Linked DNA regions of Lonchura striata. The protein of the gene in region 1 purifies or fractionates together with the protein of each later gene. This does not show direct contact. Links are inferred from orthologs where the notes say so. Each region holds a gene or a part of one and is shown in the gene's direction. Other genes may lie near its edges. The genes, in order: protein UXT and RPAP2.

The links.
Region 2: the proteins of protein UXT (region 1) and RPAP2 purify together in Homo sapiens (affinity purification with mass spectrometry; 4 studies listed by BioGRID and IntAct, counting the BioPlex papers as one, with this or other methods). This does not show direct contact. The link is inferred for Lonchura striata from reciprocal best matches to the Homo sapiens genes UXT and RPAP2.

The regions. Positions count from the first base shown.
Region 1 is NC_134638.1:952,112-967,302, forward strand, and holds protein UXT, read left to right. Parts: upstream 1-6,931; 5' UTR 6,932-6,944; coding exon 6,945-7,018; intron 7,019-8,632; coding exon 8,633-8,714; intron 8,715-9,457; coding exon 9,458-9,522; intron 9,523-10,325; coding exon 10,326-10,433; intron 10,434-11,275; coding exon 11,276-11,339; intron 11,340-12,398; coding exon 12,399-12,452; 3' UTR 12,453-12,900; downstream 12,901-15,191. Other genes in the region: uncharacterized protein LOC110481730, read left to right, coding at 170-238, 1,066-1,168, 2,298-2,435, 2,498-2,581, 2,984-3,792, 3,933-4,005. UniProt on the Homo sapiens protein: Involved in gene transcription regulation. Acts in concert with the corepressor URI1 to regulate androgen receptor AR-mediated transcription. Together with URI1, associates with chromatin to the NKX3-1 promoter region.
Region 2 is NC_134611.1:20,521,509-20,537,150, forward strand, and holds the start of RPAP2 (putative RNA polymerase II subunit B1 CTD phosphatase RPAP2), read left to right. Parts: upstream 1-8,209; 5' UTR 8,210-8,232; coding exon 8,233-8,275; intron 8,276-9,103; coding exon 9,104-9,149; intron 9,150-9,660; coding exon 9,661-9,775; intron 9,776-10,425; coding exon 10,426-10,524; intron 10,525-11,562; coding exon 11,563-11,628; intron 11,629-12,852; coding exon 12,853-12,941; intron 12,942-15,090; coding exon 15,091-15,126; intron 15,127-15,642. Other genes in the region: GLMN (glomulin), read right to left, coding at 138-325, 1,262-1,361, 1,833-2,079, 3,270-3,378, 4,374-4,493, 5,896-6,021, 6,483-6,548.

The DNA.
Region 1 (15,191 bases):
AGCACTGGTGGCGTTCATTCTGGGGGCGGGGCTTGGACCTGTGGGCGTGGCCTGGGCGGGGTTTGGGGGAGGGGCCTGGCGCGTTTTGGGGCGGGGTCTCAGCGCGGGGGGCGGGGCCATGGGGGTCCCGGGGGGGTTGGGGGTCCCTGCTGACCCCGGCTCCCCCCAGGTGGTCCCTGGGGGGCGGGGCCGCGGCGGGGGAGGGGCCGCAGGTGGAGCCGGTGGCGCTCAGCCCCAGGTGAGTGCGAGGGGGCGGGGCCAGGAGGGGCTCGGGGGGGCGGGGCTACATGGAAAGGGGCGTGGCCACCAAAGGGGCCTGACCGCAAACGTTGATTGGCCACTAAAAGGGGCGTGGCCACCAAAGGGGCGTGACCACAAACGTTGATTGGCCACTAAAAGGGGCGTGGCCATCAAAAGGGGGCGTGACCACCGAAAAGGGCGTGGCCATCAAAGGGGCGTGGCCACAAACGTTGATTGGCCACTAAAAGGGGCGTGCTCATCAAAAGGGGCGTGGCCACAAACGTTGATTGGCCACTAAAAGGGGCGTGGCCATCAAAAGGGGGCGTGACCACCAAAAAGGCGTGGCCATCAAAGGGGGCGTGGCCACAAACGGTGATTGGCCACTAAAAGGGGCGTGGTCATCAAAAAGGGGCGTGCCCCTGAGATCCCCTTGTGGTTGGGGCAGGGCTTTAGTGGGCGTGGCCATCTGGAAAGGGGCGTGGCTTTTGCACAGGGTGGAGCCGGTGAAAAGGGGCGTGGCCAGGGCGGTGGGCGTGGCCACGGCGAGGGGGTGGCTATGGAGATGGGCGTGGCCGTTGAATGGGCGTGGCCACGGCGATGGGCGTGGCCAGGGTGGTGGGTGTGTCCAGGGTGGTGGGCGTGGCCATGTCGGGGCGTGGCCATGTCGGTGGGCGTGGCCATGGTGGTGGGCGTGTCCACGGCGGTGGGCGTGTACAGGGTGGTGGGCGTGTCCAGGGTGGTGGGCGTGTCCAGGTTGGTGGGCGTGGCCCTGGCGGTGGGCGTGGCCCTGGCGGTGGGCGTGGCCTCAGCCCCTTCCCTTCGCAGGCACCGGGCGTGGGTGGACGCCTGCGCCGGCCTCTTCGGGGGCGTCGACATCTGCGGGGTGGAGGCGCTGCGGGAGCCCGACGGGCAGGAGCACATCGTGCAGGTGAGCACAGCTGGGCACAGCTGGGCACAGCTGGCACACCTGGGCACAGCTGGGGGCAGAGCTGGGTACACCTGGAGTACCCCTGGGTACACCTGGAGCACCCCTGGGTACACCCGGGTATAGCCGGGACACCCCTGGGGTGTTCTGGGCACACCTGGGCACAGCTGGGGGGCACCTGGAGAACACCTGGGCACACCTGGGGACAGGTGAGGGCGCCCAGGTGTAGCTGGGGCATACCTGGGCTCACCGGGGGCACACCTGTGGGCAGCTGGGCTCACCTGGGGACACCTGGGGCACACTTTGGGCACCTGGGACACACCTGGGGCTCACCTGGGGCACACTTTGGGCACCTGGGGAACACCTGGGGCACACTTTGGGCACCTGGGGCTCACCTGGGGCACACTTCAGGCACCTGGGGCTCACCTGGGGCACACCTGGAGCACACTTTGGGCACCTGGGACACCCAGCGACATCTTAGCACATCTGGGGCTCACCTGGGGCACACTTTGGGCACCTGGGGCTCACCTGGGGCACACTTTGGGCACCGGGGCTCACCCGGGGCACACTTTGGGCACCTGTGGCACACCTGGGGCTCACCTGGGGCACAGTTTGGGCACCTGGGGCACATCTGAGGCACATCTGGGGCACTCTTTGGGCACCTGGGGCTCACTTGGGGCACACCTGTGGCTCACCTGGGGCACACCTGTGGCTCACCTGGGGCACACTTTGGGCACCTGGGGCACACCTGGGGCACACCTGGGGCACACCTGGGGCACACCTGTGGCTCACCTGGGGCACACTTTGGGCACCTGGAGCTCACCTGGGGCACACTTTGGGCACCTGTGGCACACCTGGGGCTCACCTGGGGCACACTTTGGGCACCTGGGGCACACCTGGGGCACACTTTGGGCACCTGTGGCACACCTGGGGCTCACCTGGGGCACACTTTGGGCACCTGGGGCACACCTGGGGCACACTTTGGGCACCTGGGACACCCAGCGACATCTTAGCACATCTGGGGCTCACCTGGGGCACACTTTGGGCACCTGGGGCACACCTGGGGCACACCTGGGGCACACCTGGGGCACCTGTGGCGCACCTGAGCCCCGCCCGGCCGTGCCCCCCGCAGGTGCTGGGCTCGTGGCTGCCGCTGCTGGGCCCGGGCGCGGCCGAGGACCAGGCGCAGATCGTGGAGCTGGTGCTGGAGCGGATGCGGGAGGAGCTGCCCCGCCCCCGCAGCCCCTCCCCCGCCCGGCCACGCCCACAGGTACCCGCCCCTCCCCCACCTCCCCCTCCAGGTGCGCCCCCGGACCCCTCCCCAAAATTGAGCCCCGCCCTCCTTCCTGCAGGTGTCGGCGACATCGGGGACCCCCCGGCCGGGGACCCCCCCCCAGCAGAGACCCCAGCCCCAGGGTGAGTGACCCCGCCCCCCCACCCCAAAAAAATGGGCGGGGCCTCCTTCCCCTCCCCCGCCCCAAAAAATCCTCGGAGCTGTCAAAAACCCGGGGGAGCCTCCAGAATTCGGGGATTTGCGTCCTGGAATTGTTCAGGATTTGTTTTTGCTCAAAATGTGACAATTTCCACTAAAAAGGGGGAAAATCGGGGGTTCCCCAAAAATCCTCCTCAGGTTTGCCCCAAATCCTAAAAGTCAAAATCATTCCTAAAAACTCCCAGACGCGCAAATTTTGGGGAGCTCCTCCCTCCCCGGGGATGCCCTTCCAGGGCTGCCCCGCCCCAAATTTGGGGGGTTTTGCCCCAAATTGGGGCTGTGCCTGCCTCAGGCCCCGCCCCCTCAGGTGTTTCTCTCCCTTCCAGGTGCGCCGCCCCCGTCCGGCCCCGCCCAGCCCCGCCCCCAGCCGCAGGGGCAGCCCCGCCCACAAATGGGAGGAGCTTCGGCCCGCCCCGCCCAGCCCCGCCCACAAACCCCGCCCAGCCCGGCTCAGCCCCGCCCACAAACCCCGCCCGGCTCGCCACAGCCACACCCGCAAGCCACGCCCACCGCGCAGCCACGCCCACAAGCCACGCCCACCGCGCAGCCACGCCCACAAGCCACGCCCACCGCGCAGCCACGCCCACAAGCACCGCCCACTGCGCAGCCACGCCCACAAGCCACGCCCACCTCTCAGCCACGCCCACCCCTGGCTGCCTCGGCAGCTCAGCCCCGCCCACCCAGCCCGCAGCCCCGCCCACCGACCTCGCCCACGTCTCAGCCCCGCCCTCAAGCCCCGCCCACCGCACAGCCACGCCCACCCGGCCCAGCCGCGTCCCCTCAGCCCCGCCCACAAGCCCCGCCCACTTCGCAGCCACGCCCACAAGCCCCGCCCACCTCCCCTCAGCCACGCCCACAAGCCCCGCCCACCTCCCCTCAGCCACGCCCACAAGGACCGCCATCACCTCAGCCCCGCCCACAAGCCCCGCCCACTTCGCAGCCCCGCCCTCAAGCCACGCCCACCTCCTCTCAGCCACGCCCCCAAGCCCCGCCCACCTCGCCCCAGCCCCGCCTCCAGCGCTCCCCCTCTGTTCCCCAGCCCCGCCCCCCCGGTCCCCAAGCCCCGCCCACCCCCGCCTCGCCCCGCCCCCCCGGCCCCCAGGCCCCGCCCACCACCCGCCAGCCCCGCCCCCAGGCCCCGCCCCTCGCCCCCAAACCGGCGCTGGCCCCCAAACCGGGCGGGGCCCCTCCCCCCAGGTAAGTGGGTGGGGCTGGGGGGGAGGGGCGAGGGGCGAGGCCACGCCCCCTCCCCCCCTGAACCCCCAAATTCCGCAGCCCCGCCCCCGAGCAGGGCCCCCCCGAGAGCCTGCGGGCGCTGCGGCAGAGCTTCGCCAGCCTCTTCGAGTGACCCCGACACCGGGACCCCAAAATACCGGGGGGACCCCAAAATACCGGGGGGGACCCCAAAAATACCGGGGGGAACCCAAAAGATACCCGGGGGGAACCAGCAATACCCGGGGCTAACCCAAAATACCGGGGGAACCCCAAAAATACCGGGGGGACCCCAAAAATACCCGGGGGGACCCCAAAATACCCGGGGGGACCCCAAAATTACCCGGGGGGACCCCAAAAATACCGGGGGGACCCCAAAATACCCCGGGGGACCCCAAAAATACCGGGGGGAACCCAAAAATACCTGGGGGGAACCCAAAATACCGGGGGGGACCCCAAAAATACCGGGGGGACCCCAAAATACCCGGGGGGAACCCAAAATACCGGGGGGGACCCCAAAAATACAGGGGGGAACCCAAAAATACCGGGGGGACCCCAAAATACCCGGGGGGACCCCAAAAATATCTGGGGGTAACCCAAAATACCGGGGGGGACCCCAAAAATACCGGGGGGACCCCAAAATACCCGGGGGGAACCAGAAATACCCGGGGGAGCCCAAAATACCCGGGGGAACCCCAAAAATACCGGGGGGACCCCAAAATACCCGGGGGACCCCAAAATATTCGGGGGGACCCCAAAATACCGGGGGGACCCCAAAATACCGGGGGGAACCCAGGAATAGCCGGGGGGAGCCCAAAAATACCGGGGGGACCCAAAAAATACCGGGGGGACCCCAATAATACCTGGGGGGGACTGCAGAAATACCCGGGGGGACCCCAAAAATACCTTGGGAACCCAAAAATCCCACCCGGGGGACCCCAAAAATACCTGGGGGGACCCCCTGGTGTTCAGGACCCCCCAAAATCCCCCCAGGGATCCCCAAATTCCCCCCAGGATCCCTCAGAATCTGCCCAGGATCCCCCAAAATCCCCCCAGGGATCTTCAAAATCCTCCCGGGCGTGCCAGGACTTCAGCACCCCCCCCAAATCCCCCCAGCACCCCCCAAAATCCCCCCGGGACCCCCCAAATCCACCCAGGATCTCAAAATCCGCCCGGGGCCCCCCCCAAATCCACCCAGGACCCCCCAAAATCCCCCCGGGACCCCCCAAATCCACCCAGGATCCCCAAAATCCCCCCGGGGACCCCCCCCAAATCCACCCAGGATCCCCAAAATCCCCCCGGGGACCCCCCAAATCCACCCAGGATCCCCAAAATCCCCCCCGGGACCCCTCAAATCCCCTCAGGACCCCCCAAAATCCCCCAGGGACCCCGCAAAATTCCCCCAGGATACCAAAATCCCCCCCGGGACCCCCCAAATCCACCCAGGATCCCCAAAATCCGCCCGGGGACCCCCCCAAATCCACCCAGGACCCCCCAAAATCCCCCCGGGACCCCCCCAAATCCACCCAGGATCCCAAAATCCCCCCCGGGACCCCTCAAATCCCCCCCAGGACCCCCCAAAATCCCCCGGGGATCCCCTCCCCCCCCGCTCTGTGTTTGCCAATCCCCAGCCCCCGCCCCCCCAAATTGAGGGGGGGGTGTCTCTCCGCGCGTGCTCGTGAGTGTGTAAGCCCCGCCCCCCGCTTGGCCACGCCCCCTCGGCCACGCCCCGCTTAGCCCCGCCCCTTTCCGCCCGCGTGGGCGGGGCCAATAAATCCCCGAGCTGCTGGCGCTGGGTGGCTCCGGTGGGGGGGGACCGGGGGACCCCAAAATTTGGGGAGATGGGGTGGGGGAGGCACCTGGGGCACACCTGGGCACACCTGGGCACACTGGGGCACAGCTGGGCACACCTGGGCACACCTGGGCACACTTGGGCACACTGGGGCACAGCTGGGCACACTTGGGCACACCTGGGGACACCTCAGACATAGCTGGGCACACCTGGGGCACATCTGGAGAGTGCTGGGCACACCTGGGGCACAGCTGGGGAACACTTGGGGACACCTGGGCATACCTCAGACACACCTGAGGGCAACCCTGGGCACACCTGGGGGTGCCTGAGGGCACAGCTGGAGAGTGCTGGGGCACACCTGGGCACACCTGGAGATACCCGGGCACATCTGGGGACGCTCAGGGACACCCGGGGAGTGCTGGGCACACCTGGGGACACCTGGGCACACCTGGGGACACCCGGGCACACCTGAGGGCGACCCTGGGCACACCTGGGGGTGCCTGAGGGCACAGCTGGGACACACCTGGAGAGTGCCAGGGCACACCTGGGCGCACCTGGAGGTACCCGGGCACATCTGGGGACACTCGGGGACACCTGGGGAGTGCTGGGCACACCTGGGGCACACCTGGGCACACCTGGGGACACTTGGGGACACCTGGGGACACCCGGGCACACGTGGGGCACACCTGGGGCATAGCTGTGGGTGCCTGAGGACACAGCTGGGCACACTTCGGGACACCTGAGCACAGCTGGGGCACACCTGGACACACCTGGGGGTACCCGGGCTCACCTGGGTGCCCTTGAGGACAGCTGGGCACACCTGGGGCACACCTGGGCCACACTTGAGCACACATGGGGCACACCTGGGCCACACGGGCACACCTGGGCCACACCTGGGGCACACCTGGGGACACCTGGGCACACCTGGGGCAGGCTCGGGGCACACCTGGGGCACACCCGGGCACACCTGGGCACACTTGGGCACACCTGGGCACACTTGGGCACACCTGGGCACACTTGGGCACACCTGGGGCACACATGGGCCACACCCGGGCACACTTGGGCACACCTGGGGACACTTGGGCACACATGGGGCACACCCGGGGCAGGCTCGGGGCACAGGTCGCGGCGCTCCGGCTGCTCTCCCGCCGATTGCGCGGCGGCCATGTCGCGACATAGGGGCGGGGTTGGGGGGGGGGAGGAGCCCGGGTCCTCCCGGCCGCCAGGGGGCGCCCGGCGGCGCGCGGCGCTGACGCAGTTCCGGCGCCGCCGTCAGAGGCGGCATGGCGGCGGCGGCGGCGGGGAAGGCGCAGCGCTACGAGGCGTTCGTCAGCGACGTCCTGCAGCGGGACCTCAGGTGGGAGGCGGCGTGTCGCGACATCACCGCGACATCGCCGCGACATCGCCGCGACATCGCCGCGGGGCTGCGGCCGCGCCCCCCCCGCCCCGGCCCCGCTCATTCATCAAACCCGCGCGCCGCGGCCACGCCCATTCCGCGGCCACGCCCCCCGCGGGGTCGGCGCCGTGGCCACGCCCCCTCCCCGTTAACGCCGCAGTGCGGAATTCCCGCGCGCCCTGGCCACGCCCACGCGCGCCATGGCCACGCCCACGCGCGCCCTGGCCACGCCCACGCGCGCCCTGGCCACGCCCATCTAAGGGTCAGGGCGGGATTTCGTTTCGCCTCGAGGCCACGCCCATTCTGAAGCCACGCCCCCAAGTCAACCCCACCCATTCACAATGATGCCACGCCCATTTGATGATCACGCCCATCTATAAATAATTTCCATTCAGCTTGAGGCCACGCCCATTTTATGGCCACGCCCTTGCATAAATATTTTCCATTCAGCTTGAGGCCACGCCCATTTTATGGCCACGCCCTTGCATAAATAATTTCAATTCAGCTTGAGGCCACGCCCACTTTATGGCCACGCCCTTGCATAAACAATTTCCACTCAGCTTGAGGCCACGCCCATTTTATGGCCACGCCCTTGCATAAATAATTTCCATTCAGCTTGAGGCCACACCCATTTTATGACCACGCCTTTGCATAAATAATTTCCATTCAGCTTGAGGCCACGCCCATTTTATGGCCACGCCCTTGCATAAATCCTCGCCTTTTTTGAGGCCACGCCTATTTCACATCCACACCCCGCATAAACCCCACCTATTCACCTCTAGGCCACGCCCATTTTATGGCCACACCCTTGCATAAATAATTTCCATTCAGCTTTAGGCCACGCCCATTTCATAACCACGCCTTGGCATAAATTTTGCCTTTTGCTTTGAGGCCACGCCCATTTTGTGACCACGCCCCTACCTAAATGCCTTCTATTCACCACGACGCCACGCCCATTTTATGGCCACGCCCTCATCAGCACCACCCATTCACAATGATGCCACGCCCATTTTATGGCCACACCCTTGCATGAATAATTTCCATTCAACTTGAGGCCACGCCCATTTTATGGCCACGCCTTGGCATAAATTTTGCCTTTCGCTTTGAGGCCACGCCCATTTTTGGCTACACCTTTATCAGCCCCACCCACTCACAATGATGCCACGCCCATTTTACGATCACGCCCTTGCATAAATAATTTCCATTCAGCTTTAGGCCACGCCCATTTTATGGCCACGCCTTTGCATAAATTTTGCCTTTCGCTTTGAGGCCACGCCCATTTTATGGCCATGGCTTTGCATAAATTTTGCCTTTCGCTTTGAGGCCACGCCCATTTTATGGCCACGGCTTTGCATAAATTTTTCCCTTTCACTTTGAGGCCACGCCCATTTTTGGCCACACCCCCATCAACTCCACCCATTCACCACGAAGTCACGCCCATTCACGACCACACCCTCCACATGATGACCACGCCCATTCACAAAAACCACGCCCACTCCCACACCCACCATTAACCTCGCGGCGCGGCCACGCCCCCCGGGCGAGGCCACGCCCCCTGAGCAGCGCCCCCCGCAGGCGGGTGCAGGAGCAGCGCGACGCCGTCTTCGAGCAGCAGGCGCAGGTGCTGCAGCTGCGCGCCGCCCTCGCCCGCCTGCAGGTGCGGGGGGCGTGGCCTGGGGAGGGGCCTGGATGGGAATTTGGGGGGCTTGGAGGGGGTTTTAGGGGGGTATCGGGGTGTTTCCGGGAGGGTGCGGGGGATTTCTGGGAGCCTCGTGGGGAGTTTTGGGAGGAATTGGGGGGGAATTGGGGAATATCGGGGGGATTTAGGGGTTATGGGGGGTACTGTGGGGGAATTGGGGAATATCGGGGGGATTTAGGGGTTATGGGGGGTACTGTGGGGGAATTGGGGAATATCGGGGGGATTTAGGGGTTATTGGGGGTCCTGTGAGGGAATTGGGGAATATCGGGGGGATTTAGGGGTTATTGAGGGTCCTGTGGGGGAATTGGGGAATATCGGGGGGATTTAGGGGTTATTGAGGGTCCTGTGAGGGAATTGGGGAATATCGGGGGGATTTAGGGGTTATTGAGGGTCCTGTGAGGGAATTGGGGAATATCGGGGGGATTTAGGGGTTATTGAGGGTCCTGTGAGGGAATTGGGGAATATCGGGGGGATTTAGGGGTTATTGGGGGTCCTGTGGGGGAATTGAGGAATATCGGGGGGATTTAGGGGTTATTGAGGGTCTTGTGAGGGAGGGACTGGGGGTCTCTGGGTAGATTTGGGGTCCCCAGTGGTGTTTGGGGGTTGGGATTTGGGGTCCCTGGGGGTGTTTGGGGTTCTCCAGGTGTGTTTGGGGCTCTCTGTGTGACCCCGGGGGTCCCGGGGGGTTTTGGGGTCCCCAGGACGTCGACGCCCCCCTGCACACCCAGGTGGATCTCGGCTGCAATTTCTTCGTCAGTGCTGAAGTGTGAGTGGGGCTGGCACCCCGAAAACCTCCTCAGACCCTCAAAAACCTCCTCAGACCCCCAAAAACCTCCTCAGAACCCCCGAAAACCTCCTCAGACCCCCAAAAACCTTCTAAGACCCCCCAAAACCCTCCTCAGACCCCCCAAAAACTTCCTCAGACACCCCAAAAGTCTCCTCAGACACCCCAAAAGTCTCCTCAGACTCCCAAAAACCTCCTGAGAACCCCAAAATAACTCCTCAGACCCTCCAAAAACCTGCTCAGACCCCGAAAAACCTCCTCAGAACCCCAAAAACCTTCTCAGACCCCCCCAAAAACCTTCTCAGACCCTCCAAAAACTTCCTCAGACACTGAAAAACCTCCTCAGCCCCCCCAAAAACCTTTTCAGAGCTCCAAAAACCTCCTCAGACTCCCTAAACCTTCTCAGACCCCCCAAAAACCCCCTCAGACCCCCCAAAAACGTCCTCAGACTCTCCAAAAGTCTCCTCAGACCCCCAAAAACCTTTTCAGACCCCCAAAAACCTCCTCAGAACCCCCGAAAACCATCTCTGACCCCCAAAATCCACTGCAGGAACCCCAAAACTCCCCTGAGTCCCCCCAGAACTCCCCAGGCCCAACCTGGGCACCTTTGGGACCCCGATCCCCTTTAAAGAAAACTCCCAATTCCCCCCGGAGTTCCCCTTGAGATCCCAAACCCTCCCCAGGGAGCCCCTAAATCGCCAAAATTGGCTTCCTTTGAGCCTCCACCACCCCTGGGACCCCCCCAAAACCCCTCGGGGTGCCCCCCTGACCCCTTTTCCCCCCAGCCCGGACCCCCGGCGCGTTTTCGTGGCTCTGGGCTTCGGCTTCTTCGTGGAGCTGACGCTGCCCGAGGCCCTGCGGCACCTGGAGCGCCGCAGCTCGCTCCTGCAGAGGTGAGGCGGCCCGGCCACGCCCCCGGCCACGCCCCCAGACCCTGGACACGCCCCCAGACCCTGGACACGCCCCCGGCCACGCCCCCAGACCCTGGACACGCCCCCGGCCACGCCCCCAGACCCTGGACACGCCCCCTGCCACACCCACAGACCCTGGTCACGCCCCCGGCCACGCCCCCAGACCCTGGACACGCCCCCTGCCACGCCCCCAGACCCTGGACACGCCCCCAGACCCTGGTCACGCCCCCGGCCATGCCCCCATACCCTGGACACGCCCCCGGCCACGCCCCCGGCCACACCCCGTGGTGCTGGGTGTTGGGCCTTGGTCACTCCGCCTTGGTCACGCCCCTTTTTAGGCCACGCCCATCGAGGCCACACCCATTGAGGCCACGCCCACCCAGTGCCACGCCCCAATCCCGTTGTATTTGGGTTGGAAGGGGCCCACGCCCATTTTGGATCACACCCACTTAGGCCACGCCCCCATTCCCATGGATTTTGGGGTGGGAGGAGATGCCCACGCCCACTTAGGCCACGCCCACCCAGGCCACGCCCTCTTACGCTCACCTGTGCTCACAGGTGGCCCCAGATGGGCAAACCACGCCCCCTTAGGCCACGCCCACACCATAAAAGGTAATCACCGCCCCGCCCCATGGCCAAAACGGCGTGGCCTCCCGCAGGCCACGCCCACGCCACCCAGGCCACGCCCACCCCACAACAGGAAGGCACGCCCCCATCCTGATGACAAAAAGGGCGTGGTTTTGCCATGTCAATCATCAGGCCACACCCACTCGGGGGACCCCACCCTTCCCAAGCCCCTCCCACCTAAGCCCCGCCCCCCGCAGGCTCAGCGAATCCCTGACGCGCGACGGGGCCAAGATCCGCGCCCACATCCGCCTGGTGCTGGAGGTAACCCCGCCCCCTGCATGGCCACGCCCCCTCCTGCAAGCCGCGCCCCCTCCTGCAAACCACGCCCCCTCCGGCATGGCCACGCCCTTCCTTGCGTGGCCACGCCCCCTTCTGCAAAACCACGCCCCCTCCTGCAAGCCATGCCCCCTTCTGCAAGCCACGCCCCCTCCTGCAAGCCACACCCCCTACTTCATGGCCACGCCTCTTCCCTGTGGGCCACGCCCCCTCTTATAGGCCACACCCCCTCCCTGAATGGCCCCGCCCCTCCTGCAAACCACGCCCCTTCCTGTATGGCCACGCCCCCCACGGTGGGCCACGCCTTCTCATCTAGGCCACGCCCCTCCCTGCATGGCCATGCCCTCAACTGTGGGCCACTCCCCCTCCTGTGGGCCACGCCTCCTCCTCGTGGGCCACGCCCACTCTATGGCCACACCCTCTCCCTGTAGGCCACGCCCCCTCCTGCAGGCCACACCCTCTCCCTGTAGGCCACACCCCCTCCTGCAGGCCACGCCCCCTCCCTGAAGGCCACGTCCTCTCCTGTGGGCCACGCCCTCTCCCTGCATGGCTCCGCCCCCTCCTGCAGGCCACACCTCCTCCTGTGGGCCACGCCCCGTGATTGGCCACACCCCCTCCCTGCATGGCCACGCCCTCTTCTGTGGGCCACTCCCCTTTCTCCATGCCCCGCCCCCTCTCCATGCCCCTCCCCTCTCAAGGCCCCGCCCCTATCCAAGCCCCGCCCCCTCTCCAGGCCCCGCCCCTCTCCAGCCCCCTCACCTTCTCCAGGCCCCGCCCCCTCTCCAGGCCCCGCCCCCTCTCCAGTCCCCGCCCCTCTCCAAGCCCCTCACCTTCTCCAGGCCCCGCCCCCTCTCCATGCCCCTCCCCTCTCAAGGCCCCGCCCCTCTCCAAGCCCCGCCCCCTCTCCAGGCCCCGCCCCCTCTCCAGGCCCCGCCCCAGCTCTGCCCCTCCCCCTCTCCAGGCCCCGCCCCTCTCCAAGCCCCTCCCCCTCTCCAGTCCCCGCCCCCTCTCCAGGCCCCGCCCCCAGCTCTGCCCCTCCCCCAGGGCCTGCGGGAGCTGCAGGGGCTGCAGGAGCCCCCCGGGACCTCGGAGCCCTGAGCGCGACGCCGGGAGGGACCGGGGTGTAAAACCGGAGTAAAACGGAGTTATTTACACCGTGGAGTAACTTGGGTGTAAAACGGGAGTAAAATTGAGTTATTTACACCGTGGAGTGACCTGTGTGTGTAAAAAGGGAGTAAAATTGAGTTATTTACACCGTGGAGTGACCTGGGTGTAAAACGGGAGTAAAATTGAGTTATTTACACCGTGGAGTGACCTGGGTGTAAAACGGGAGTAAAATTGAGTTATTTACACCGTGGAGTGACCTGGGTGTAAAACGGGAGTAAAACGGAGTTTGTACACCGGGAGTGACCTGGGTGTGTAAAACGGGAGTAAAATGGAATTTTTGCACTAGGGAGTGACTTGTGTGTAGAACAGGAGTAAAACGGACTTTTTACACCTGGGAGTGACACATGTGTAAAACCGGAATAAAATGGAGTTTTTTACACCGTGGAGTGATGTGTGTGTGAAACAGGAGTAAAATGGAGTTAGTACACCTGGGAGTGACCCGGGTGTAAAACTGGAGTAAAATGGAGTTTGTACACCTGGGAGTGAATTGTGTGCAAAACACAAATCGAATGGAGTTTTTACACCGTGGAGTAACCTGTGCGTAAAGGTGGAATAAATCAGGGTTTTACACCTGGGAGTGACGTGTGTGTAAAGCTGGAGTAAAGCAGGGTTTTTACACCTGGGAGCTGGAATAAATCAGGGTTTTACACCTGGGAGTGACGTGCGTGTAAAGCTGGAGTAAATCAGGGTTTTTACACCGGGGAGCTGGAGTAAAGCAGGGTTTTTACACCTGTGTGTACAGCTGCAGTGGGGGTTGTGCGGTGCACAGGAGGGAGCTGGGAGTAACCCCGGAGTAATTAATGCGTGAACTGGGAGTAACCCCGGAGTAATTAATGCGTGAACTGGGAGTAACCCCAGAGTAATTCCTGAGTGAACTGGGAGTAACCCCTGAGTAATTCCTGAGTGAACTGGGAGTAACCACGAAGTAATTCCTGAGTGAACTGGGAGTAACCCCGGAGTAATTCCTGAGTGAACTGGGAGTAACCCTGGAGTAATTCCTGAGTGAACTGGGAGTAACCCCAGAGTAATTCCTGAGTGAAATGGGAGTAACCCCGGAGTAATTCCTGAGTGAACTGGGAGTAACCCTGGAGTAATTCCTGAGTGAACTGGGAGTAACCCCAGAATAATTCCTGAGTGAACTGGGAGTAACCCCGGAGTAATGAGTGAACTGGGAGTAACCCCGGAGTAATTCCTGAGTGATCCGGGAGGGTCAGCGGGGGGGAGGGTCCCGAACAGCCCCGCCCCTTAGGGGGCGTGTCCTCGTAAGCCCCGCCCCCTTTTCAACCCCTCCCCGCCACCACCGCTCCTTTCCCGCCCTTTGCGCTGACGTCACTGCGCCATTAGCCACGCCCCCAGCGCGCAGCCCCGCCCCTCACGCTGACGTCATTGCGCTCTTAGCCCCGCCCCCAGCGCGCAGCCCCGCCCCTCGCGCTGTGGTTACCGCGCTCTTAGCCCCGCCCCTCGCGTGACGTCACCGCCGCCCCGCCCCCGCCGCCATCTTGCGCCGCCGCCGCCGCCGCCGCTCCCGCCCGGCCCGGCCCGGCCCGGCCCCACCGGAGCCGCCCGCGGGGTCGGGCCCGGCCCCGCCATGGCCGAGGATTTCTGGGAGGCTCCGCGCCGCTGAGCCGGTAACGGGAACCAGCCCCGGGAGCGGCCGGGAGCCCCCGGGAACCCCCCGGGATCCCCCCGGGATCCCCCCGCGGAGGCCGCGGCTGCCGGGAGGGCAGCGGGGGCGGGGGGGGTGCCCAGGTGTGCCCAGGTGTGCCCAGGTGTGAGGGGGTGCCCCAGGTGTGCCCAGGTGTGCCCAGGTGTGCCCAGCTGTGCCCAGCTGTGCCCAGCTGTGCCCGGGTGTGAGGGGGTGCCCCAGGTGTGCCCAGGTGTGCAGGGTAGCTCCAGGTGTGCCCAGGTGTGCCCAGGTGTGAGGGGGTGCCCCAGGTGTGCCCAGCTGTGCAGGGTAGCTCCAGGTGTGCCCAGCTGTGCCCAGGTGTGAGGGGGTGCCCCAGGTGTGCCCAGGTGTGCAGCGTGGGTGCCAGGTGTGCCCAGGTTTGAGGGGGTGCCCCAGGTGTGCCCAGCTGTGCAGGGTAGCTCCAGGTGTGCCCAGGTGTGCCCAGGTGTGAGGGGGTGCCCAGCTGTGCCCAGGTGTGCAGGGTGGGTGCCAGCTGTGCCCAGGTGTGAGGGGGTGCCCCAGGTGTGCCCAGCTGTGCAGGGTGGGTGCCAGGTGTTCAGGGTAAATCCAGGTGTGCTGGCTGTTCCCAGCTGTGCCCAGGTGCCCAGCCGTGCCCGGGTGTTCAGGCTGTGCCCAGGTGCCCAGCTGTGTCCAGATGTTCAGGCTGTGCCCAGCTGTACCCAGGTGTTCAGGCTGTGCCCAGTTTCCCAGCCCTGCCTGGGTGTTCAGGCTGTGCCCAGCTGTGTTTGGGCTGTGCCCAGCTGTGCCCAGGTGTGCGGGGCACTCAGGTGTGCAGTGACCCCAGGTGCCCAGCCATGCCCAGGTGTTCAGGCCGTGCCCAGGTGTGCCCAGGTATTCAGGCTGTGCCCAGGTGTGCCCAGCTGTGCTCGGGTGTTCAGGCTGTGCCCAGCTGTGCCCTGGTGTTCAGGCTGTGCTCAGGTGTTCAGGCCGTGCCCAGCTGTGCCCAGGTGTTCAGGCTGTGCTCGGGTGTTCAGGCCGTGCCC
Region 2 (15,642 bases), on another chromosome or scaffold:
TGCATAAATATTGACATAAAATTACTACTACTGAAATGCAGTTTTCATTCATAACTATTCACAAATAAAGTTCTCTTCCACTCAGAAAGAATCTTCAAAGTACAGACTTACAATAAGCAAGAAAGAATGATTCTTACCTAAAAACCACTGGAAAGCATTCAACACCAAAATGCTGAACAAACACCAGATATGACAAACTCGCCAAAGAATCAGCAGAATTCTTTTGCTCTATGTCTGCAAACTCCTGATTCTCCCAGTGTGGACTTTTGCCTTTATGATGTACAAACACTAATGGTATCAATTCTCCTATATTCCACAAAATGTCCTAAAAAATAAAAACAGATTTCCTATAGTTGCCTCTAAAATAACTGTATGCCAACTCAGTTTTAAAGCTCTAACTGTATTTACATACATTCTCTTGTACAGCATGCATATAAATTAATGTAAATGTTACGTTTGTAATATATAAATTAATATACATATGTGGGATTTATGATATATGCACAAACACACACAAAAATCTGGAGGAAAAATAACTAGTGTTAGAAAAACATTACTAAGATAGCAAAGTCAAAGACACAAAAGTTAGCAAAAGAGGATGAAGACCATCTGCAAACTCCTAGTTCAGTTTCCTTATCCTCAGTGAGTAACAGCAGATTCATGAAAACATTATGTTACAAAATCTCAGTGTTTTTCAGATCACAGAATACTCAGTATTTTGTTTTTTTCCTTACTAATCAATGTGGAACACAATTTTTAGCTGCAAAAGGCAAGCCCTGATTTCAAGATAGATTTGCTTTGTATGGCCTTTCTTTCCCATGATGCACAACACAGGGAACACCTGACATTTGTACATCAGAAATACTACAGTGGTTACCCCCTCACGCCCTTCACGTGGCTTAGGACATAGTGTGACTCCTCTTGTACATGTTACAGAGAAATGGGGAGATCAAGGTCAGCTCACTATTCTGGAGTTGTCCAAACCCAACATCCAGGAAGGCACATTTTAGAAAATTAGCATTATGCAAGATGTAATACAGTCTAAGCATGACTTGCTGACCTTAGCTTCAGCTCTTACTACTTAAAGCTATAAATAAAAACATGGTTTCAGACTGTGCCCAACAGGATATAACTTACACAGCCCATTAAGTCACCTCACTAACCAATACAGAAATCAAAATGAGCACTAGAACAAGTTAGAGGTAGTTGTGAACTAGACCACTGGTTCTGCACACATTTAATTCATTTCCACTGCACTCACTATAATTTCAGTTGCAAAATGCCGAAAAGGATGTTCTTCAATGCCCTCAAGTTGTTCAAGCTGAGCTGTCAATAGTGGGTATTTCAGGCTTCTCATACAGCTGAAAAAGAAAGGGGTGGAATAAATCACCAATACAGTCATAAATACAGACTGTGATAGCGTCACTGATGACCAAGAATAATGCCTATATTCATATCAGCTGCTGCTATTCAAGGTATTCCAAGGAGAATAAAAAAAATAAAACCCCAACATCTCCTCTAGAAGCATTACTTAGACTTCACCTCCAGACTATGATTATACTCACTGTTGGAAATTTGAGGAACAGAGGAATACCAACTCAGCTTCACAATGCAGCAGCTAATAGTTCTTTACCATTTCCCTCTACTAAACAGAATGCATAAATATATAAGATCTATTTAGGGGTTCTTTGTCAAAATACCACATTAGTTAGATATATGTTGGCAGCATTATAAAACTCTAAAAGATTATTTATTTGCTGCCTATATAATAAATGCCTACTATTCATTTTGTTAAGTTAGAGGAATATATAGCACAGACATAAAACGCTCACAATTTTATTAATTCTTCTTTCAGCTCCACATCATTGTATTCTGATGACTTTTCTATATTTTTAACAACTTCATTCACAAAAGGTTTAGCAAAGTCCACCACTGCATTACAACATTGACAGAGACCAAGTTTATCTTCTTCTATTTGTTGTTTTGTGTAAGGTACAGGTAAGGGAGAGAGCTGATTCATAATCATGGCCAATGACAAACCCACTGAGTAGGCCTTCTTGTTCTGAAGTTTCAAAAGCACTGGGGAAAGAAAACAAAAAAGAGGAAAAGAAGAGAGAACATTTTGAGGCATTAAGTTATCACTTACTTAGTAGAGGAAAACATGAAGAAAAATAATATGACTAGGTAAGGAAACATTTTGTTTTCAGGGAAGAAGAGCGACTGATACCTGAAATCACATGAGCAAATCCAGCAAGATTAAACACAATCACCTGGTTTAATACACTGTAGTTAACATGGCCAGGTATTTGCAAATAACAAATATTAAATCTGTCCTGCATTTTAATGTTCTTCCTTTCTCCACAGCACCAGGATTAGGACTGAAAAAAAATCTGTTTTCTAGAACTGGGCTAAGTAAAATGATACATATCTGACCAGGAAAATGCATTTGTTACTTGACTCCTGTGCTTACCAAAACCAGAGACAATAGCCCAGCTTTTCTGCTGAGAACTGACTCTGGTTTTTACTCCATGGCAAAAATAACAGACACTCTCCCAGGCTGAGGAAGGAGAACAAGAGGCTCTCCACTTTAACTGAACCCAGTGAAGACTAATTGCAGATTGGCTACCCAAAAAACCACGCATTTCTCTTGTTAAATTCTAATCTAATACAATAACATATCCTGGAGATTGTTACAATCAGACTTCAATTTGATACACAATACTTAATTTCCTCTCATATAACAAAACAGAAACTACTGCTTGTTACCCACTTAGAGAGTGGCCACACACAACATTTTAAATTTTCATATGTAGGCCAGAATAACACTCACCCCCTCACCAATAAAGTATTTCAACATGCTTCAATCAAAATTACAATTTTATACTACAAAAACATAGAATTGCATATTTTAAAAATCAAATCATGAAGAATTTAACAAATCCATGTGATTTCCTATTTCTGCAACAACAGTAGGAGTGCTTTACACCTCTAAATAAAACTGTCATAGGACCACATTCTTGTAAATGATTAAAAAAATAGCTGAACACTGCTTTTTCAACTACTGCTATTAGTTCTATCAGAAATGTTTTTTTAACAGGCCAATATAAGCATGAAATTTATGCCTTGTGTTATGTTGCAGAATATAATGGACAGTAAAGCTTTGTCATGATGGATTGATTCTGAAACCATTCCAGCAAAGGCTAAAATAAAATGATAAATAAATGAGAAAATAATTTAATTCAGAAATCACAAAATAAACTTAATCCCACCTGTCTGCAAAGGCTGAAGCAATAACATGACAGTTTGACACACTTGCTCTCCAGAGGTCTGCTCAATCTGCTCAAGTAAACCCAAAAAAAGTTCCTTTGGATTGCAAAGCTGCAAGAGAGGAACAATTCGTATTTTTAAATAATCATGGTCGTAATAAAAAAAAATAAATCACATGCAATACAGAAGTTCCTGAATGTCAAGAGAGAAGATCTGAACATCCAAGATTAGATTTAAGAAAACAAATATGAAACCATAAGTACATGCCTACAATTAACATCTACTGTAGAGCATACCTGTATGTACACTTTCATATGAGCTGAAAACATATAATCATAAAAACTGACACTAAACCTGATTTTAATAGGCTGTAAAAACCTCAGAGTACCTTTGCAAATTGATCTTCAGGAGCAAAGAGAGAAGTAGAATTTGAGTCGGAATTTAACTCAAGCTATAAAGTTTGCAAGTTGGTTTTGAAGTGCATAAATGAAAGAGAATAAGTTTTTACAGGTTAAAATATTTTTCTGCTTCTACTCCATCAGAATCATCAGGTAATGATTCTCATTTGAGGAAGGGTGAATAAGACTTTTCCAAGTGAATCACCGAAAAGAGAACAATAAATACTATTCAGACAGAGATAAGTGGAAAATGGCAAGGTCTTGCAGAACAGTTTTGAAACAACTAAAGAGAGAACATGAACAGAGAGACCTTGAATTAGATACTAGAAAACACATTTAGCAACATACTGTAAGTTTTACTCAAGCTAGCTAACTCAGATTAAATTGTGTCCTTCAGATTAATTTAGCTCATTTTCATGTGAAAAACATACCTCTGAGGCTGAGCCTACCAATTCCAAACAAAGAGCCCTACCCACTGAACACACACCATGCATAGAATTCTCTGTACCTTTCAATTGAGGTGAGGGAATGTTAAACTAAGAGCAGCTTACCCAAGTAGTGATGTAGATATTATGCAAATATTGTCAGAATCAAATTGTATAAACGTGTAACTGGCCTTTGGTGTACTATCTTCATGGATTAATGATCTAGCATCCCTTTTTGTGCAGAACTTCCCTAACATTATTGTATCATAATCATGTACCATACCTGTGCCAACTGATCTAGTATCCTCAGGCAGTGTTCTCGCTTATCATCTTCTTGTTTGTATATAAAAATACATCTAACAAGAGGAGAAATGAGATTCCAACCCATATTCTTGATGATAACCTAAAAACCAGATATTGAAGAATAAACCAAAGCTGGATGTCTTCTAAACCCAGAAAGATTGTGTATATAAAGACCAAAGACAACAACAGATCAGTGTCCTGGACAGTAACCATTACAGTTGCTATCACTGAATATTTAGCAACTGTTACCATAATTTGACACACACTCTTTTCTGTCCCCATACCTATAAACACAGATGCATGTTTTGTATAGTTTTCTTCTAATTATTAACATACCAATATATACTTTTAAACATGCATGACAATACATTTAAAATGGGACTGAGCAGAGGAGTTCTGCTGAAAGAACACTTGAAAAAATTATTCATTAAGGGATTTAGATTTTCAGTTGTTACTCCAAACTCACAAAATTCAAAACCAGATTGTGAAACCCATGTAACAGATTCTGAACTCCATGCAACATTGCTAAAATATTCTGCCCCTGCCTTTCTTTCTGAATTTCCTATTTATCTCTCTCAGTTTGGTATATTGTCCCAGCATCCCTAATGCCCACAGACATCAGTATTTCAGATTAGCATCAGCCTAGTTGGCTCCTACAGTCGGCCAATATTATTATATCCATTTGTGGTAGGCTGTCCCCCAAGAGCAACTAAGCACCCCTAAGCTGCTTGCTTGCTCTTGTCCCTCAGTGGGAATAGTGGTGAGAATCAAAAGGACAAAACAGAGGAACTCTGAAGATAATAAAGTAATAAAGTAATAAGTGAAAGACAAAAGACAGCAGAGCATGATGGAGAATGATGCAGATCAACTCCCACAATGAGACCAATGCCCAGCCAGCCTCCAAACAACAGCTACTTCGGAATGGGTCCCCAACCATGTCTTTACTGCTGAGCACAATGTTGTATGCTGTGGAGTATCTCACTGCTTTGGGTCAGCTGTCCCAGCTGTGTCTCCTCCCAAATTCCCTGCTTACTGGGAGCAGAGTTAGAAAGGGAGAAGGCCTTGATGCTGCACAAGTATTGATCAGCAGTAGTTGAAACACTGATGTATTATCAGCACCTTTTTGGTCACAAATCTAAAACACAGCACTATGCAGTGTGCCATGATGAAAGCCAACTCCATGCCAGCCAGACCTAGTACACCATCTGAAATCCCCGTCCTGTGGAAGTGGGACATGCCACTTTCTCCTAATTATGCTTTTCTACTTCCTTTTCTCTTTGCTTCACTCACAGAAGAGTTATTAATGGTTTTGTTAAGATTACTGTGACTTGGGTTTCTGTAAGATACCTGAATACAGAATAATGGGCACTTAACACAGGGCAACTTATTAGCTACTCTTATGTACAGCCTTGCTCCACAGAGAAAGTAGCTTTCCCCTCTTAATTAGCAGTTTTATATTTAATGTTAATAAACACTACTATGCAGTGCAAACTTAAACTCACCTTGTTTTTCTCATTTTGAATTACTTCTAATAACTGAGCTGCATATCCATCTTCCAAACATTTCTGACCTGCTACCTGAAACAGATTGAAATCTTCTCCTTTGAAATCAGCTTCTTCCAGAATTTGCTAGAAAGAAAATATGAATGTTTAACCTCATACTTAGCAAAGTCAATTAAGAAATAAGAAAATCCATGCTTTCATTTCAAAATTAGATGTAATATCATTGTAACTTCTATACATTTTTAACTTACTAAAAAAGCTACCAAGTTACTACAGAAGACAGGGCAGTATTTCAATAGCACTAAGTCTACATTACAGCTTGCTGTTTGGAAGATGTGTTTTCTACAACTACCAGCTTTTGTTCCTAGGTACACACCTCCTTCTCCAAGAAGCAGAAATAATCAAGCATCTTGGGATAAGCACCACAGAGAAGGCAATGAAACATGGAGGCTCAACTTAGCTGTTCCATGAAGAGTTCTACTAACAGTGGACTTGTTTTTTGAGGTAATTTTGGTTTTAATTCTAATATATGAAAAGAAACTCGCACTACTGACACTTGTTACTTCTAAGGAAGGAAAACTACTTACACATCTTTGTATTATGTCTTGAAGTTCATCAACTGCCATTTTAGTTTGACTGTGTTCTTCCAGCATGAAAATTTATTATAAATTAAAGAGGGCAGTATTATATTACACGGATTTAAAACAGAGGCTGAAAAATAATCACATTATCAAAAAAAAAAAAGTTAATGGGGGAACAAGAACAATCTAGACAAATATAAAGACTACATAATTAGCAAATAAGGGAAAATTCATTTTTACTAAGTGTATGCTATATTATTCTACTCCCCATATTAGCAGGAAACAGTATTACAGACAGGAAACAACATGCATTCTATGTACAGGGAAATAATTTTTCAAGTACTATCTGGGTCATCTTAAGAAGTGTGAAGGTTTCAGTGACTACTGCAGGCACAGACATGGAAAACTGCAGCTAACACAGAGCAAGTCTGGGCTCACTGCATGCCAAGGAGGCACACCCATGACACACTACATTTTCTGTGCCTATTCTGACCAGAGGAGCTTCTGCTCAGCCCTGACTGGAACACACTAACCCGATATCTGGTGTGTGAAGGCACTGATTCAAACACCATGCCTGTTTATATCAACAGTCCAGTGAAGATTACATATGCAGTTTCACTTATTTCTTTCTAGTGTCTAGGTGGGACTAGTGCAGTGGCTTTTTACCTCTAGGTATTAAAATTTAAAACTTTCTTGCTAAAAACAACAAAGTTATACACTTGAGTAATGTCAAGTATGTACCAAGTTTTATGTAGCCAGGCTCATGAATTAAAAATGCAATCAAGCCTGGTTATCCCATGTGATATATCATAGCAGCAGTCATAATCTTTATGGTTTTAAGTAATGCCATGGACCTAAACCTGGTTATATTATCACTATGATTGTCAATTACCCCTACACCTGGTTAATTAGGCAACTATTCATCAAAACAGGCATCTCCATGCAATGTCCTGAGCCTTTCTTCTTAGTTTTACCTAAAGTGGTGGGTTGACGCTGGCCAATTGCCAGCACACCTAAATGAGACAACACACAGATAATGAACCTATCTAGACGCTCACAAGAGGCGACAACTCACAAAAGCTTAAAAGGCATCTGTGTATGACCTTCTTTATTCAAAGAATAAACAACTCACTTCCTATTCTTCAGGGCCCATTCTGACACCTGTATGTCACTGAAACCTATCCTTTCTAGCCTGTCATTTCAACCAGATCATTACCACATACTTTCTTACCACATCTTGTACTATTTAAACTCTTCATTTTACAGACTATTACTAATCCCGCCAAAACAATTTAACATACTTTCGAACAGCAGCCCTCAGTAACTTGACAATGTACTTACAGCCTTGAAACGCGTCCCAGGCACCCACCGTGTTGCATGGATTTGCTGGCTGAGCTCGCAGATGGTCTCCGGCCTTAATACTTAATCCGGCTTCCAAGTGAATCTTTTAGGAGGTTTCAGCGGCAAGTGAGCAGCGTCTGAATCATGTGAAACGTTCTATTAATACTCACCAAACTCTCTTCTAATAAACAGATACCCCAGCCCCTTCTCTGGGCGGTACAACAGCCAGGATGGGACGAAAAGGCTGCCAGCTAAAGCCTGTAACACACGGCTGAATTACAAGCCACAAGGGCACGGCACCGCCTGTGCTCAGCTCAGCTCAGCCCCTGCCAGAGGAAGCCCTCAGCCCGGCGCTGCCGCCTCTCCCGGCCCCGCCCCGGGTGAGAGGTCGGCGGGCGGAGCGGCGCTGACGGCGATGATGGCGGCCGCGGCGGGCAAGTCCCGCCGGCGGCGCGCAGGTGGGCGCCGGGGTCCGCGCGCCAGCCCCCGCTCCCCCCGGCTGCGCTTTGGGCTCTCCCTGTGCCCGCAGGCCGGCACGGCGGCGGTGTCGCCCAAGCCAAGCGGAGGGGAGCGCGGGCCGGCCGTGGTCGGCTCTGCGGGGCTCTGCCGGGCTCTGCCGGGCCGGGTGCGGGGCCGCGATGAGCGGTGCGCCGGACGGGGCGAGGCAGGACCCGCCGTGCCCTCGGGCTGTGAGGGGCCGGGGCGGCGGCTCTGAGCATCGGGGACGGGCTGTGGCGGCGGTCGTGCCGTCAGAGCGCCGAGCCCTGCCCGCGGCGCTGCGTCCTTGCCAGGGTGACAGCCCGGTGCGCCCCTGCCTTTGCCCGTGTCGGAGGGGAGCGGCTGCGCGGACGCCCGTGTGGGGAGCCGGGCCGGGCGCCGTCCCGGGAGGGAGCGGCTCTGTGTCAGGCCTTGGACCTGGCCCCTGGCTCAGCCCTGCCCCGCGGCAGCCGTGGGGACGGCAGTGGGGCGCCGCGGTAAAACTGGGCTTTACCGCCTGGAGAGACGGGGGGTGTGGCTGGCACAACGCCATTGTCAGAATGTTTTCTCTTTTTTGTGCATACAGAACGTGGTGAATGAGAGTATAAGAAGCGTTGGGCCTGTTTTCACACTTTTTAAAGTGTGTCTGGTTGCTGAATACCAGCTTACTGAAATCACAGCCAGCAAAAGCAATAATAAGAAATTATCTTAATTGTGCTTACAGTTTAGAGGTTTTCATATTTTTCAGGTTCCAACATCTGCTGTTAAGCAAGTACACTAATTTTGATATCTGTATATTTGATTCTTAGGAAATAAGCATTCAGCTGCTCAGAAAAATGAAGATGCTGCTCAAAGGTATAATTTCTGAGGAATAATATGAGATATTTGTGTTGTTTTGGCTCACTTTGAAATTGCAGTCTCTGTGCTGCAGAGGCTTTGCTTTCTCAGAGTACCACGATTAACTTCAGTAAATCACCAGCATCAGCATCATGTAGGACATGTTTGGAGAGGTGCTGTGTAACTTCTAACAGCATGCACATCTGAGCATGGCATAATATAATAAAAGTTCGTAATCTAATGTCCAAAATTGTATTTCCTTAGCCTGTAGTTCTTGCTTTTGGCTGTCCTAACTTCTTTACATAACTTCTGCCATTTATAATTATTTTCATTTAAAAACCACTCAGGAGGAGGTATTTGTTTTTGTAGCAACAGAATTACTAGTCCAGTTACTTGTTGCTTTGTTTGGCCAACATGGTGTGATACAAAAAAATGTAAGCTGTATTTCAGAAAAAAAGATAAAAATATAATTGGAGAACTGTTTATGGAAATCTGCCCTCTGTATCATTCAGTTTCTGTTCTGTTACAGGAAAGCAGCTCTGGAGGCTGCACTGAGAAAGAAGATTGAATGTGAGAAAAAAGCATTGTCTATTGTTGAGCAGCTCCTGGAACAGGACATTACTGAAGAGTTCCTTCTAAATTGTGTAGGTGTTGCAAGTTTTTCTACTGTTTTGTATCTTAGTGTGGTACTTTTTTAACAGATTTTGGAATAACTTGCTACAGTTTAAAATAGCCAAACCATTGATTCCTTCTTCTACCAGCTCTGATAACAGTCTCCATATTTTTAAGGGTTCTGCAGTGAAAACATGCCCTAGTTTTGCAGGACTGTGTACATTAATGAATCCTCACTCTTATTAGAGCCCATGTTGATACTTCTGTGGTTCTGGACTGACAGATGAACTGTAAAAATTTAGGTTTACATCATACCGTCTGTAAATTTACACAAAGTCTCTATAAAGCACCACAGTTATCTGGCAGCAGAGTTCTGCTGGAATGGTATAATGATTATTCTTGTTAAGGTTGTAAATAGGCTGATTAATAGGTGTACACAGCACATAAATAGAGGCAAAAATGTGAAGGTTTTGTATATGCAAAAAAGAAATGCCTGGGTCTGTTTTCCTTCCCTATTTACCCTTTTACCTTTTCTACTGTGTAGGTTCTCAGTATTGTTTATTAAACTTAATAGATAGCTGTTATAAAATTTAAGGTATTTACATGCTTAAGAGATGTTTTGAGTACAAAAACTGGCAAGTTTTCCAGTATCTGTTGTTGAACTATTTTCTTGTCATTTTAGGGAAAAAGTATTACTCCATCTCACTATAAAGATGTTGTTGATGAGCGATCTATCATCAAACTATGTGGTTATCCTCTATGTCAGAAGAGACTGGAAAATGTAAGTTGCTTTTCCTTAATGGTGTTATCAAAGGAATGTTTTCACAATTTTTATTGTCTTGCATTTTTTTTTTTTAATTTTAAACTTAGAATATTAAGCACAGATTACTGTCAAGTAAGGAGCCAGGCATTATATATTTCAGTATAATCCTTCTGAAGTGAAAGGTGAAATTTCATCAGTAGACAGCAGTTCTTGTATGCCAGAATCAGTTACTGTATGATCAGAATCACAATCCATCTGTCTGTTCTGACAGGGATAAAGATGAACGAGTGATGGCTTCATGGCCTTCCTTTGTGAATGGAAAAACTTTGAAATCTTGTTCTTCTGTCAGTGTAGCAACAGATGTCTATGAGAAGGATTAAAGTGAAAAAACAATACAATGCAGGGATATTATTATGTGAATGCATATATATCTCCTATGAAAATGTATATCAGCTGTGTCAATATGAAAGTCACCCCTCTTTAGGTATGATGCATGAGAGTTTAAGCAGAACTCAGAGGTCAGTTAGATAACCTGTGATGTAACACCAGTGCTACACATTAAAACATCTGAAAACATTCTACTCATGTACAAAACAATTTACTGTTTTGGACTTTATCTCTTTGCACAGATATTAATTTCAAAACTGTTAACAGTTTGCATAGGTTCATCTGGGTATGGCTGGGTAGTGGTTCAGGTCTGACAGTTCAGTTTCGTATGCATATAAATAGATCTGGATTAAGGAAGGCCTTGTCTGTAATTGCTCAGCACTTACTCATGAGGAAAGCTTCTGCCATAACATTGTTTTATGTTCAGCATTGGTTTTCTTATAGCTGTGGAACTACCTTTTACTGATTAATGAGGTGTGTATGATTAAAGATAAACTGCCATTCTTACATCTGAGAAGGTGCAACATAAGAAGAACTGAGGTGGTTGTAGTATGCATTTCAGTTAAATATAATATTTTGTACATACCCAAATACGTGAACTAAGAATGAAGTTTTCTCTGTAGTCATGATGGAACTGACAGTCTTGCTGATTAAACTATATTATTTTAGGTGCCAAAGCAGAAGTACAGAATTTCAACAAAAACGAACAGAGTTTATGATATCACTGAAAGAAAGGTATGGTAACAAGTGTATTTCTAGAATGTGTTTAATGCTGGCAACATCAGAAATGCATTGTGTAACAGCATTCATATAATGGCTTGATTCAGAGACAAATATGTTTGGTTCTTATGAAAAAGATTTTCACAAACTGTTGAAATTTTTTGTGCATTTCACTTCCTAGATGATATCTTTGGTGAGACAAAATACATGTGTTTTCAAAGTTTAAACACAAGATGGAAAATTTTACTTGGATAGCCATTTGAAAGTCACACAGGTGCTCTGTTAAAGGCATTTGTGAAGTGTTCTTTATTTTGCTCCAGCATAGTTAGTGAGCTTTAGTACGGTCAAAGTGCACATCCTTTTCAATCACTGAAGTCTGCAGTAATGTAGTACAAGTTACATGTTACATATCCCTTAGTGTTCTTTTCTGGGGAACATTTAGGTTTCTCTTTTGAGGACTTTTCAACATAAAACTTAACTCTTCAAAAAATGTTTCTTTCTGGAAGCATGTTCACAGGTGGTTGCATAAGTCATCTTTGCCATTTCACAGGATACACAATCACCTATAGGCACGTAGACACTAAATTGTAACATAAACGTTTCCAGTTACAGAACAAATTTCTTCAGTGTCATTAGCATGCATTCCTTTCCTCTGATTAAAACTTTGGGATACACAAAATTTTAGTAATTGCTTTCATGAGAAATCAGGCAAGACTCCAACAAGATGTGGGATACTTTGTGTTCTTCCCTTGTAATGCAAGTTTGCAAATCAATTTTTCAAAGATGCTGCAGATTTTTAGGTGTTGTTCTAAGTATTACAAAATAGCGAGTTCTGTTGCTAACCAAAATTTTCATTATTAAACATCTGAATTTTATTGTATGTCTTTCAAAGTGTATGAACAGCATATTGGGTTATGGCTTCCTCTTTGAACAGTTTGATTTGTTGGGGTTTTTTTTAAATTATTATTATTGCATAGAATCCAACACTGGTTTGCTTCTCAGTGTGTAATAAAAGTTCAGGAAGCAGAAAAATGGAAAGGAAAGAAGCAGCTGAATGTGGCTTGTGCAGAAGGGGATAGACCTATTTGATAGGTTGGGTTTCTCAGGTGAACTAAAAACCTGGCCACAGGCTTGAAAAGAAACATTAATTGGTACTTAATTTTACAGACATTAAAATAAATTACTTTTGTACCTTTCTGTGTATTCGTCTTAGTTGTTCTTGCTTTCTCTCATTGCCAGTGCTTTTGCAGCAATTTTTGCTATAGAGCATCTAAATATTTTGAAGCTCAAATTTCCAAAAGTCCAGTGTGGATGAGAGAAGAAGAAAAGTAAGTATAATCCTATACATTCAATACACCTTTTGAGAATACTATTTCTCTATGTGTCTACAGTGGTAATTAAGAGCTGCAGCACATCAAAATGATTTTGCTGAAGCAGAGGTAGCTGATGTTGACATATTAGCTTAGCATGGTGTCTGTTCTAAAAGTGTTGAAGCTGTATGGATTACAGTAATTGGCCTGGTTCAGTACTACTCTCATCTACTTAGCAGACATGACCATGTTAGTTTAGAGGGCAGACTAGTCAGAAATAATAATTAAGTCCTTTAACTTTAAAATGGACTGACTAGGATTGAATTTTTACAAATGGGTTGGAATAATCTTACACTGTTACAAGAGATTTCTAATTTTAGCATAGCACTTAGCATTGATCTTAAGCGTAGACAATGAATGCTTGCATCTGAAAGCAATCTATAACATGAAGAGGTTTTATATCCAGTCTAAATTTCTGATTGGCCATTTCTTGTTCTTCCTGCAATACGCATATTGGAACAGTATGCAGTCCATGTTCCCATCTCAGAAAACATGGGCTTGCAAATAGTCAATGGAGCCAATGGGTGTCACTGTTGAACAACAAAGACTGGCATAGAGAATGTTCAGCAAATTTACTCAGCTGTCATTCTCCAAGACACTGTTTCTCATAGTTTCCTGGGTTTCAACAAAAGAAACTAGCTGGAGTTATATGTGTCAAATGAAATAGATCATCAATGACAGAAGAGCTTTAGAGCAGCCCCATCAGATCTGAGGTATTCTAGTAGGTAAAACTAGACTTGTCATTTAAGTTTTCCGATGCTTTTGAGGTATTGTTTTGCTGTCTTTAAGAAAACTGTTTCTAAAATCTCCCTTTATTCTTCACATAAAAAGTGTATAGTTCTTTTATGTCTGACATAGTTAATTATTTATTCTGGGTGCTGGTGGGGAGGCGGTATTTTCAAAAAACAAACAAACAAACTCCCAGATAGTTCTTGGCTAGCTACACCTCTTCGCACAACCACATACATGTGCACACACCCATACACACTGACATACTAGAATATTTGAAATTCCTTTGATAGAAAAAACTGCAACCTCCACTTAAAACTCCACAGAAGAATTATATGGAGCTAGTAATATAAATCACTCTGTTATCACCTTCAGTTTCCAAATTTAGTTTATTAATATGAGTGGCTTTCCTGCAGGATCTTTTACATACTGAAAGGTGTTAGTACACTGACTTGCATTTAGTGCTTGTTTAAAAGGTTTTCTTTCAATCATAGGATATGTGAGATTTTTAACATTTGGTATTGGGTAAGAGGAATAGGACTGTCATGATGCCTCAGAACTGAAGTAGATTAATTGCAAGTAGGGCTTTGGTAAGAAACTCGTTGGAATTTGTTTAGTAATATTTTTAGTTTCTGGAAGCCTTTGAAAACCATTTTCTTTAAAAAAATATAACTTGATGGCCTAATTTTTAATAAAGTAAAATTTAAAATAAGTTAAAAATCATGAATATTCATATTTTGCATTAATTGGTACATTTTCCTGTAAATAGCCCAGAATTGTCTTTACTACAGGAACCGTATGATCTATGAGGATCTTGGCATGTTCACTTGTTTGAAGAATAGATCTGAAAGCAGTGTAAAACTAGCTGAAAAAACTTAGAAAGATTACAAAGCCTATTCTTGGTTGATGGCCACAGATAATCACATGAATGGTTCAGATTGGGCATTTGGAAAAATATTGTACTAAGGTTATGGTGGAATGAAACAGGATACTCAGCAATATTTTGAAATCTCCATGTTTGGAGATTTTCAAGATTTAAACTTCATGAATTTATGGCTGACCTAACCTAGTGCTGGTGAGAGTTGCATTTCAGGCAGGAGATCAGACTAGAGCCTTCCAGAGGTCCTTTCTGACAAGCCTTTGTGTGACGTGGTGACTGTGTTAAATTGTTCACTGTAACAGCCTTGTGCTGCAGGCACACGAGTCACGTTCCCTGAACACGTGCACAGACCTGCTCTTGCTAGCTTTGCTTTGAACAGAGGGTGTTAGAGTAGATGATCCTCAGATGTCCCTTCCAAAGTCAATTCTTTTTGTATTTATGTGTATTTCAAGAGATTACATTTAGCAGGAAAACATTCATTCTGTCTTCTTTTTCCAGACCACCAGACATAGAGCTGCTGAAGGAGGGACGGAGGTACGCTGAACAATTTCTTTTTTTCATTAGATGCACTTATAGCTAGAAATTTTAGCATCATAGCAGACACAAAGGGAATCTTTGATTTGTTGTGTTATAAAAAAGACCTTACCAGAACCTATGCAAAGGTTTTCTCCTTTGTGATTCCAGCCCAGAAAATTTGATCTGTATAATTTACTGTACAGCTGCTCTTGGATTGTGTGTCTTAATTGAGCCTGTTGAAATCTGAAACAAATACACTGTTTGTACTTTGAATATTTTATGCCATCTATTCTTTATTAAAAAAATTGTGCCAATTATATGTGATGAAAGCTTCTGTACTTCTTAATCTAAAAGGTCTATATGAGCCAAAAAGAAATCACGCTACTCTGTCATCTCGCTGTACCTCACTGTGCCTTGTGCACCTTTCTGTTTGTTTTCTTTTGCAACACATTGCCATTAGGTGGCAAACTTATATATGCTGAAACAGCTCAGCTTAATCCTGATTTAAGCATGACTTAAGGGTACTATTTCCCT